Caenorhabditis elegans: one gene and its partner. The protein of the gene in region 2 binds, or shares a complex with, the protein of the main gene of each other region. Each region holds a gene or a part of one and is shown on either strand. Other genes may lie near its edges. The genes, in order: air-2 and csc-1.

Region 1 (3,967 bases), on a different chromosome or scaffold from region 2:
GTATTTTCCGCAAATACCTAACGAGACCCAAATTATCGGGGCGGAGTCTTTCTATTTGGCGTTGGAGCGCGATTGCATTCTGATTTCAAAAGATGCGTTATTCACAAGTGAAAAATGAAACTTTAATTTTCTTAATCAGACAAAAAATGTGAGATTTTTGAAGAAATCGGAGAAAACGGTTCAGCAATTAGCATGAGTTCTCAAATAAAAATGTGTTCTCAGAAATCTCGAAAGAAAATAAAAAAATTAGAAAATTCTAGTTGTATAACTAAATTATAGCCAAAGTACCACATCATCGAAACCTATAATTACACCGCCCGCGCTTAATCGGTAAAAGTTCCCTGTAATTTAAAAATTTAATTTAATTTTTTGTTGTCCAGAATGACATCTTGTGAAATATGCTTTGTTTGAGAAAAACAACTTTTTGAAAATGTCCCCGCACCACTTACTGAAAAAATTATAAGTTTTCGAGGACTTAAAAAGGGCACAAGAAGTGCTTGAAATTGTTGGAGCACGTGAATTTCAAAAACCTCATGTTTTGAAATTTCAAGTGTACTCAGTACTAAGCTTAGTTGTTATTTTTCCTTTTGGGACTATAAAGTCGCACGGTGTGATAAAATAATCCTAAAGAAAATCGAAATTTTCTTGTCGCTTTTAAATTTTATTTTTTTTTTTTTCTCAAAAATCTAAAAATGCAAATGAACCTCAACGAAAAGAAGCAGCTGCTCCGAGTGCGAGTCTACGCGACATCTGAAAAAGGAGAAAATCTCGGGAGGTACTAATTGAGTTGTTGTAGATATATTGAGAAAGATGGAGAACGAGAAAAGAAAATAAATTTATGTTGAATGAATGGGGTTAGACGATTGGGAATAATAGAGTTCGCGAAACAAAAACTACATGAAAAATTGGTTGACAAGTTATTTCACTTTTTAAAATTTCTAGTAAATGTGATGAGATCCTTTATTTGACAGACAGACGAGATGATTGAAAGAAGGACGGGAAAATCAGTAGTTGATCAGTGATTCCGAAGACTTGCTTCTTTTTCAATCTTTTGCTGCTTCTCAGCTCTAATTTTTGCCTCCATCATTCCCTGGATCCAGTAGTGTTCCTTCACCTGTAATAATTTAATGAATTATGATAATTAAGAACACTACAAAAGTGTACTTCTGTGTGCTGATAATATGTTGGCCACTAAGCTGAAATCAATAACAAACCTGTTCAAGCGTACAGCGAGCCTTGGGATCAACGACAAGCAATCTTCCAATCAAATCTCGTGCACCCTTCTTCACAGAATCAGGGTAAGTAAACCGTGCCGCTTTGATTGCCGCATATGTCTTGGACTGATCTTCGTGCTCGAATGGGGGTTTTCCAACGAGAAACTCATAGCAGAGAACGCCGATTGCCCATAAGTCAACTGCGTCACTGTGATCGGCTCCATTCACCATTTCAGGAGGGAGATAGTCCATTGTTCCGCACATTGTTTGGCGCCTGAAAACATGACAGTGAATTTTTGGAAACATCTAGATTTCCTAAATTTGAGGATAAACTCACTTATTCGAAGGAGCATGAACACTCCATCCAAAATCTCCAATTTTCAATTCTCCTTGTGATCCGATAAGCAAATTCTCCGGTTTAATGTCGCGATGAATCACATTTTTCCTGTGGCAATATGACAAAGCATCTGCGATCTCATACATATATTTTGCAGCTGTTGGCTCTGAGAATCTCTTGCTCACTGTCAATTGCTTGTACATTTCGCCTCCGGGGGCATATTCCAAAACGAGATAGATCTTCTTCGCATCCCAAAAATATGTGTAGAGCTTGATAATATTCGGGTGATTCAAATGAGATTGAATCTCAATTTCACGCTCCAATTGATGCTCGACGCCTCCTGAGATGAGTTGCGATTTGAATAGAACCTGAAAATATGTATGGGTAAAACGGATGTCAGAAAAATGATAATTCAAATAAATACAAAATAAATCAATATGTTACCTTGATCGCTACATGGAAATGTCCAGTTTTTGTGCGAGCCAGGTAAACACTGCCGAATTTTCCTTTTCCCAGTGGTCTTCCGATCTCGAAATCGTTAATAGTAAATTTTCTGTAAAATCAAGAATAATTTATAAACTTTTAAAACCTTGATTTCTTACCCTCCCTTCTGTGGAGTATTCACAGTTTCCTTCTCTGGAAGGTTGATTACAGGTGGCTTATTCTCCATGTCGGAACTGAAAAGTTTTTTATGAAGAAATAAAATAGACGGCACGATTAAGGACAAATTAACTAAAAGAAAACATCACGATAAATTTATAAATTGAATTAATTAGAAGTTCAATGGCCCAATTTTTAATTGAATACATTTAGATATTTATGTAGAATAAAAATAGGACTAATTCTGCTTTGATTTCAAAAAAAAGTGAGAAATCAACACATTACCTGAGTAAATATGTTTACAAAAAACGAGTTTTGATTGCAAATAATTCTAAAGAAACTAAAAATTGTCAGCTGGATAGTAAGGAGAAATGCAAGCCGTTTAAATAAAAAATTAACGCGGCAAAATGCAATGGTCCGCAATATGTCGTCATGTACGGTGTAAATGCGTACTTGGCCCTGTGCCAGGCCCGTTTATCCTGCTTTTTTGTTTGTTTTAAATTAAATTAAATTGTATTTATATATTTTTGTTCTTCTTAAATGTTTTCCTATCAAAACAATCCGTAGAAAATTAAGATTCAACTAGAAAATTTCAGTACTCATTGGACTATGTACGGAGTTCTTGTAATTGGAGCTCCTGGAGCTGGAAAATCTACATTTTGTGCAGGATTAACGGACATTTTCTCACAAACCAAACGACCATTTCTCACTATCAATCTTGATCCTGCTAATGACACAATGGCATACGCACCTGATGTAAATATCACTGTAAGTATTTTATTCCAATGAATATAGGACAATAATTATGAAACGTGGTACAGATCATCTATCAATGTTATTTTAATACTTAAGGTCATATTTTTCATTTAAAATACTAAAGTTTAGGAAATGATCACTGTGAATGATGTAATGGATCGACTTGGACTTGGACCAAATGGAGCTCTCAAATACTGTATTGAAACACTTGGAGCTAATTGTAATTGGCTCCTCCAGGTAATTTTTTTGGCAGAAAAAGTTAATTCTCAAAAGCTAAAAATTGTTTTCACAACAATTGAGCTAAAATCTGGAATTCTCTAAATTTGAATCGAGAAAATCGGAAATCATTTTTAACCTCTTTGTAGTTTTAATATTCAATTAAATCTTTTTTCAGAAAATCGAAGCGAATCACAAGAAATATCTGATAATTGATTGTCCCGGACAGTTGGAACTATACAAAAGCGAAGGCGAACTATGGAAAGTTATCCGCTTTTTGGAAAAATCCGGTGTTAGACTATGTGCCTTACATCTTGCCGATTCACTTTACTGCAGTGACCCATCGAAATTCATTTCTGTTGCATTATCCACATTAGGTAAGAGTTCATTAAGATTAAAAAAAAATTGAAATACTTTTCTTGTCTCTCGACCCGAAATTTCCAAATATAATTCAGCTGATTTCCTCCAAAAAATGAAAATTTATTTTTGTTCTGTACAATTTTGAAACTCCATGGGCCTTTATGTATTTCTGGCTAAGAAATGCAATATCTTTCTGGCACATAAAACTTTCATTTAATCTGAAACCTATTTTTGTTATTTATTTGATTTTAGATGGAAAAAATTGAAATTCGGAACCACTTTAAATTTTGTGTGGCTGAAAGGAACAAATTAAAATTATATTCATTAAAAAGCTTCAATTTCAGCGACAATGGTAACAATGGAGATGCCACAAGTAAACTGTCTGTCAAAAGCAGATCTTTTCTCTGAAGACGGGACCTATGATCTCGAGTTTTTCTCCCATTTACCTGATGTCAATCGACTTTTGGATCTTTTGAATGAAGTT
Region 2 (3,611 bases):
ATTACTTAACAATTCCAGCTGAAAACTTAATAATACAGATTATTCAACAACTTGGATTATCAGCTGCTTTTGACTGTTCTTGAAGATTTTCACATTGGTATCTTTACTGGTGACAATCACTTGTTCCCTGAAACTTTCTTTTTCAAATAAATTCAAATAACTACTACCTCTTACCTATCTTCCACACTCCTTTGCACTGAACTTGCTTCAAACCTATTATCAATCGCCTGATTAACCAGCTCAAACTTCTCACGGAACACGAAAAGTGTCAAGGTGGTGCCCATCGGTTTTTTGTCCTGAATCCAGTTTTCGCAGAGATTTACAACTTTCGGGGAGGTCATATTATAATCTAAGAATATCCAAGGAGATTGGAGATTTGAAATCGCGCGAATCGGAATTGCACGTGATGATTTTATACACAGCTTCTTGGCTGAATATATCTGGAAGGAAACAACAAATTTCTGTGAATTTTCAAATTTCAGACTCTACCACAGGCTCCGCCAGAATCAAGTAATCCATTCCAACAAAATCCACCTCCGCCGTCTCGAACGGGCGAGCTCGGAGGCAATCAAACCAGGTCGTGTAGTCATATCTCAGGGATTCAATCCGCATTCTTACAAAAATGTGTCGAATATTCAATTGGCAGCACGCCTCGAGACCATATGGATGATTCTGCAAACGCACGACGGTCTCGTCACGACAAAATTTCGTTAATTGATAAAAGGTGTGCGCCTTTAAAGAGCACTGTAATTGAAAACTTTCGTTGCTCACGCGGGATCCTGGCCTTGCTCATTGAATTTTTCGCGCTCCATTGATAATCTCCCGCTGGACAACGCGTGGGAAAGTCGTGTACTCCACACGGACACGTACATTTCGTTTTACAACTAAAACCGAGCCGCGACGCGACACGCAACGCACCTTAAATCTACCCCAGATATGGCCGAGCCAAAATGGACTAGTTCGGCCTAAACTCTTCCATTTCAATTTATGAGGGAAGCCAGAAATCTGTGAAAACTAGAAGAAAATAATTAAAAACCCCAAATTTCCAACAAATTATAGAAAAAACTAGATAACACAAAAATTTGTAATTACAGTACTCTTTAAAGGCGCACACATAATCGCGTAAGAATTACCAGAATTTGCAGTGTATGAATACTTGTTCCTGGTCGATTTAAATAGAAATCCACCAATTTCCGAAAGGTTTCAGTCTGTGAATCTTCAGGACTTGCAATTAAAATTCCGAATTGTTGAACTCCACCGAATAAAACGTTGGCGCCAAGCTGAGCAGTTTGAATATTGAAATTATATTTTTTATCAATCGAAAAGTGCCAGTCCTCCCTTGTTGTATCGATTTTTATACAATTAAAGTGATAGGGAAGCTTTTTTTCAAGCTTGCGAAATATCGAGTTGAAATTTGCAAGATGGCTTCTGTAATCGTGTTTTCAAATGGATTCTAAAATAAAACCCACTTCTTGTCAAATGATAAATATTTGAATATGCATGGGACGCTTTCAGAATACATTTTAAGCTGAAATATTATCAATAATTGCAGCAAAAAAGGCAAAATTGCGAAATTTCTTGCTACGAAATTTTCTTCAGTGAAAATTAATTGTTCTAGTTGGTATCAAGTGTATGCAAATGGAAAAACGGTAAAAAATATATTTCAAATCATGTTTTCATAAGTTTGTCTTTATAAATCTTTATTCCAGACCTGTTTCCTTCTTTTGCGCGTGGGGTACGGTACGCAGTCCGCAAACACCGAATGCGAGCGCGAAAATTTTTCGATTAATTTTATAATTTTTTCCGCCATTTTTCTCATTTTCCACGCATTTTTCGATTTCTTTTGTGATTTTTACCTTAAAAAAGTTAATTTTCACGTTAATTTCCCTCAAAAATTCGATTTTCTCCGATTATTTCTCATTATTTTCTTCAGAATGCCACCACGCAAGATCAAGAAGGACCCGGCTGTGGTTGCGATGGCGGATACTCTCGAGACGCGTGGTAAGCTTGAAGATCTCCAGTAATTTATTATATTTAAATAATTTATTTTCCAGTCAAGGACTTACTCGAGGAGTATAAGAAGAAGCTGCGGGAGGTCGCCCTTCAGACAGCAAAGGCTGAATCCGACCGGATCATCGCCACAATCAAGCCAAAATACAGGGATATGCCGATCATGGAGTTTCTGGCATCGCCACCGGATGATTTCTACATTGAATCCGGCGAGGAGGAGGAGGAAGGAGAAGCGGCGGTGGCGGTTAAGCAGGAGCTTCCTTCCGAGCCTGACATGGAAATCGACGACGCGGCGGCGGCGCAAAAGACGAGCATTCCGATTGGCCAGAACTCGTAAGTTTTCAAAAAAATCCAAATTTCCGCCATTTACTTTTATCAATAAATTTTCCAGCGGCCGGAACACGGTGCAGGTCAAGCAGGAGCCTGAAATCGACGACGATGCGGCGCATGAGACGAGCATTCCGATTGCTCCATCTGGCCAGAACTCGTAAGTTTTCAACAAAAAAAAAATCGATTTCTCAATAAATAAATTAATTTTTTTTCAGCGGCAGGAACACGGCGGCCGACGAGCACCGCCGCAACGAGATCATAACGCCAGCTGGACAAGTGCTCCCACTGCCAACACTTCAACCGGAAAAGCCATTCCGTGCTCCACACGTTGACGAGGAAATCGCCTTCTCGGTGAACGGATCGCCACTGGTCTTGGCTGGAAGAACTACTGCTACTGCTGCTGGCAAGGAGAATCGGAAGAAGTCGAAGAAATCTGGTGCGGCGAGCAAGAAGGCAGCGGCAGCAGCCGGGCCTCTCCAGCCGGAAACTGAAAATGCCGGGACGTCTGTATAGGAAAAATCCCCCGATTTAATTTTTCCCCCGCTTTAATTTTTATAATGATCTGTAAATACTTGATATTTCAATTTTTCCCGTCTTTTACCTTTTATATGCAAATTTTTTGATCTCAACGATCGTTTGATTCTCTAAATAGACTGCAAAAAATTTGACTGCAAAAAATCGAAAAAAAATTAGTTTTTTTTCAGAGAAAATCGGAAAGAAAACTTCCAGCCTTCTTGTACTACTCTTGGACAACTGTGAACTAGTTATTTAAACAGTTTTTGACAAGAATCCGCGATTTTGTTCAACTTACGCTAATTCTTTTTGTGTTTTACATCAGCGGTGGACGCCAAACTGTCGGAATTGAAGATTTCCGGCAAATCTGTAATTTGCCGGAATTGAATATTTGCGGCAAATCTGTAATTTGCCGGAATTGAATATTTGCGGCAAATCTGTAATTTGCCGGAATTAAATGTTTCCGGAACATCGGCAAATTGCCGGTATTAAATGTTTCCGGAACATCGGCAAATTGCCGGAATTGAGTATTTCCGGTAATTCGGCAAATTGCCGGAATTGAGTATTTCCGGCAAATCGGCAAATTGCCGGAATTGAAATTTCCAGCAAATCGGCAAATTGCCGTAAATGATTATTTCCGGCAAATCGGCAAATTGCCGGAATTAAATATTTCCGTAGATAAAGTTTTTACAGAAAAGTCATCAACTGATAAGTTGTTGATATTGTTGTAAAGAACAAGTTTGTAGTTGAAAGTTTTT

What was found.
Region 1: csc-1 (region 2) and air-2 share a complex: the UniProt entries of both Caenorhabditis elegans proteins name them as parts of the CPC complex.

The regions. Positions count from the first base shown.
Region 1 is NC_003279.8:5,935,738-5,939,704, reverse strand, and holds air-2 (Aurora/IPL1-related protein kinase 2), read right to left. Parts: upstream 2,229-3,967; 5' UTR 2,222-2,228; coding exon 2,154-2,221; intron 2,105-2,153; coding exon 1,996-2,104; intron 1,920-1,995; coding exon 1,552-1,919; intron 1,489-1,551; coding exon 1,215-1,488; intron 1,115-1,214; coding exon 1,016-1,114; 3' UTR 829-1,015; downstream 1-828. Other genes in the region: B0207.6 (GPN-loop GTPase 2), read left to right, coding at 2,761-2,919, 3,037-3,144, 3,302-3,500, 3,828-3,967. UniProt on the Caenorhabditis elegans protein: Serine/threonine-protein kinase component of the chromosomal passenger complex (CPC), a complex that acts as a key regulator of chromosome segregation and cytokinesis.
Region 2 is NC_003280.10:13,595,022-13,598,632, forward strand, and holds csc-1 (Chromosome segregation and cytokinesis defective protein 1), read left to right. Parts: upstream 1-1,933; 5' UTR 1,934-1,934; coding exon 1,935-2,001; intron 2,002-2,054; coding exon 2,055-2,343; intron 2,344-2,401; coding exon 2,402-2,497; intron 2,498-2,555; coding exon 2,556-2,853; 3' UTR 2,854-2,926; downstream 2,927-3,611. Other genes in the region: fbxc-23 (FTH domain-containing protein), read right to left, coding at 40-127, 175-440, 490-672, 1,134-1,428, 1,470-1,522. UniProt on the Caenorhabditis elegans protein: Component of the chromosomal passenger complex (CPC), a complex that acts as a key regulator of chromosome segregation and cytokinesis during mitosis.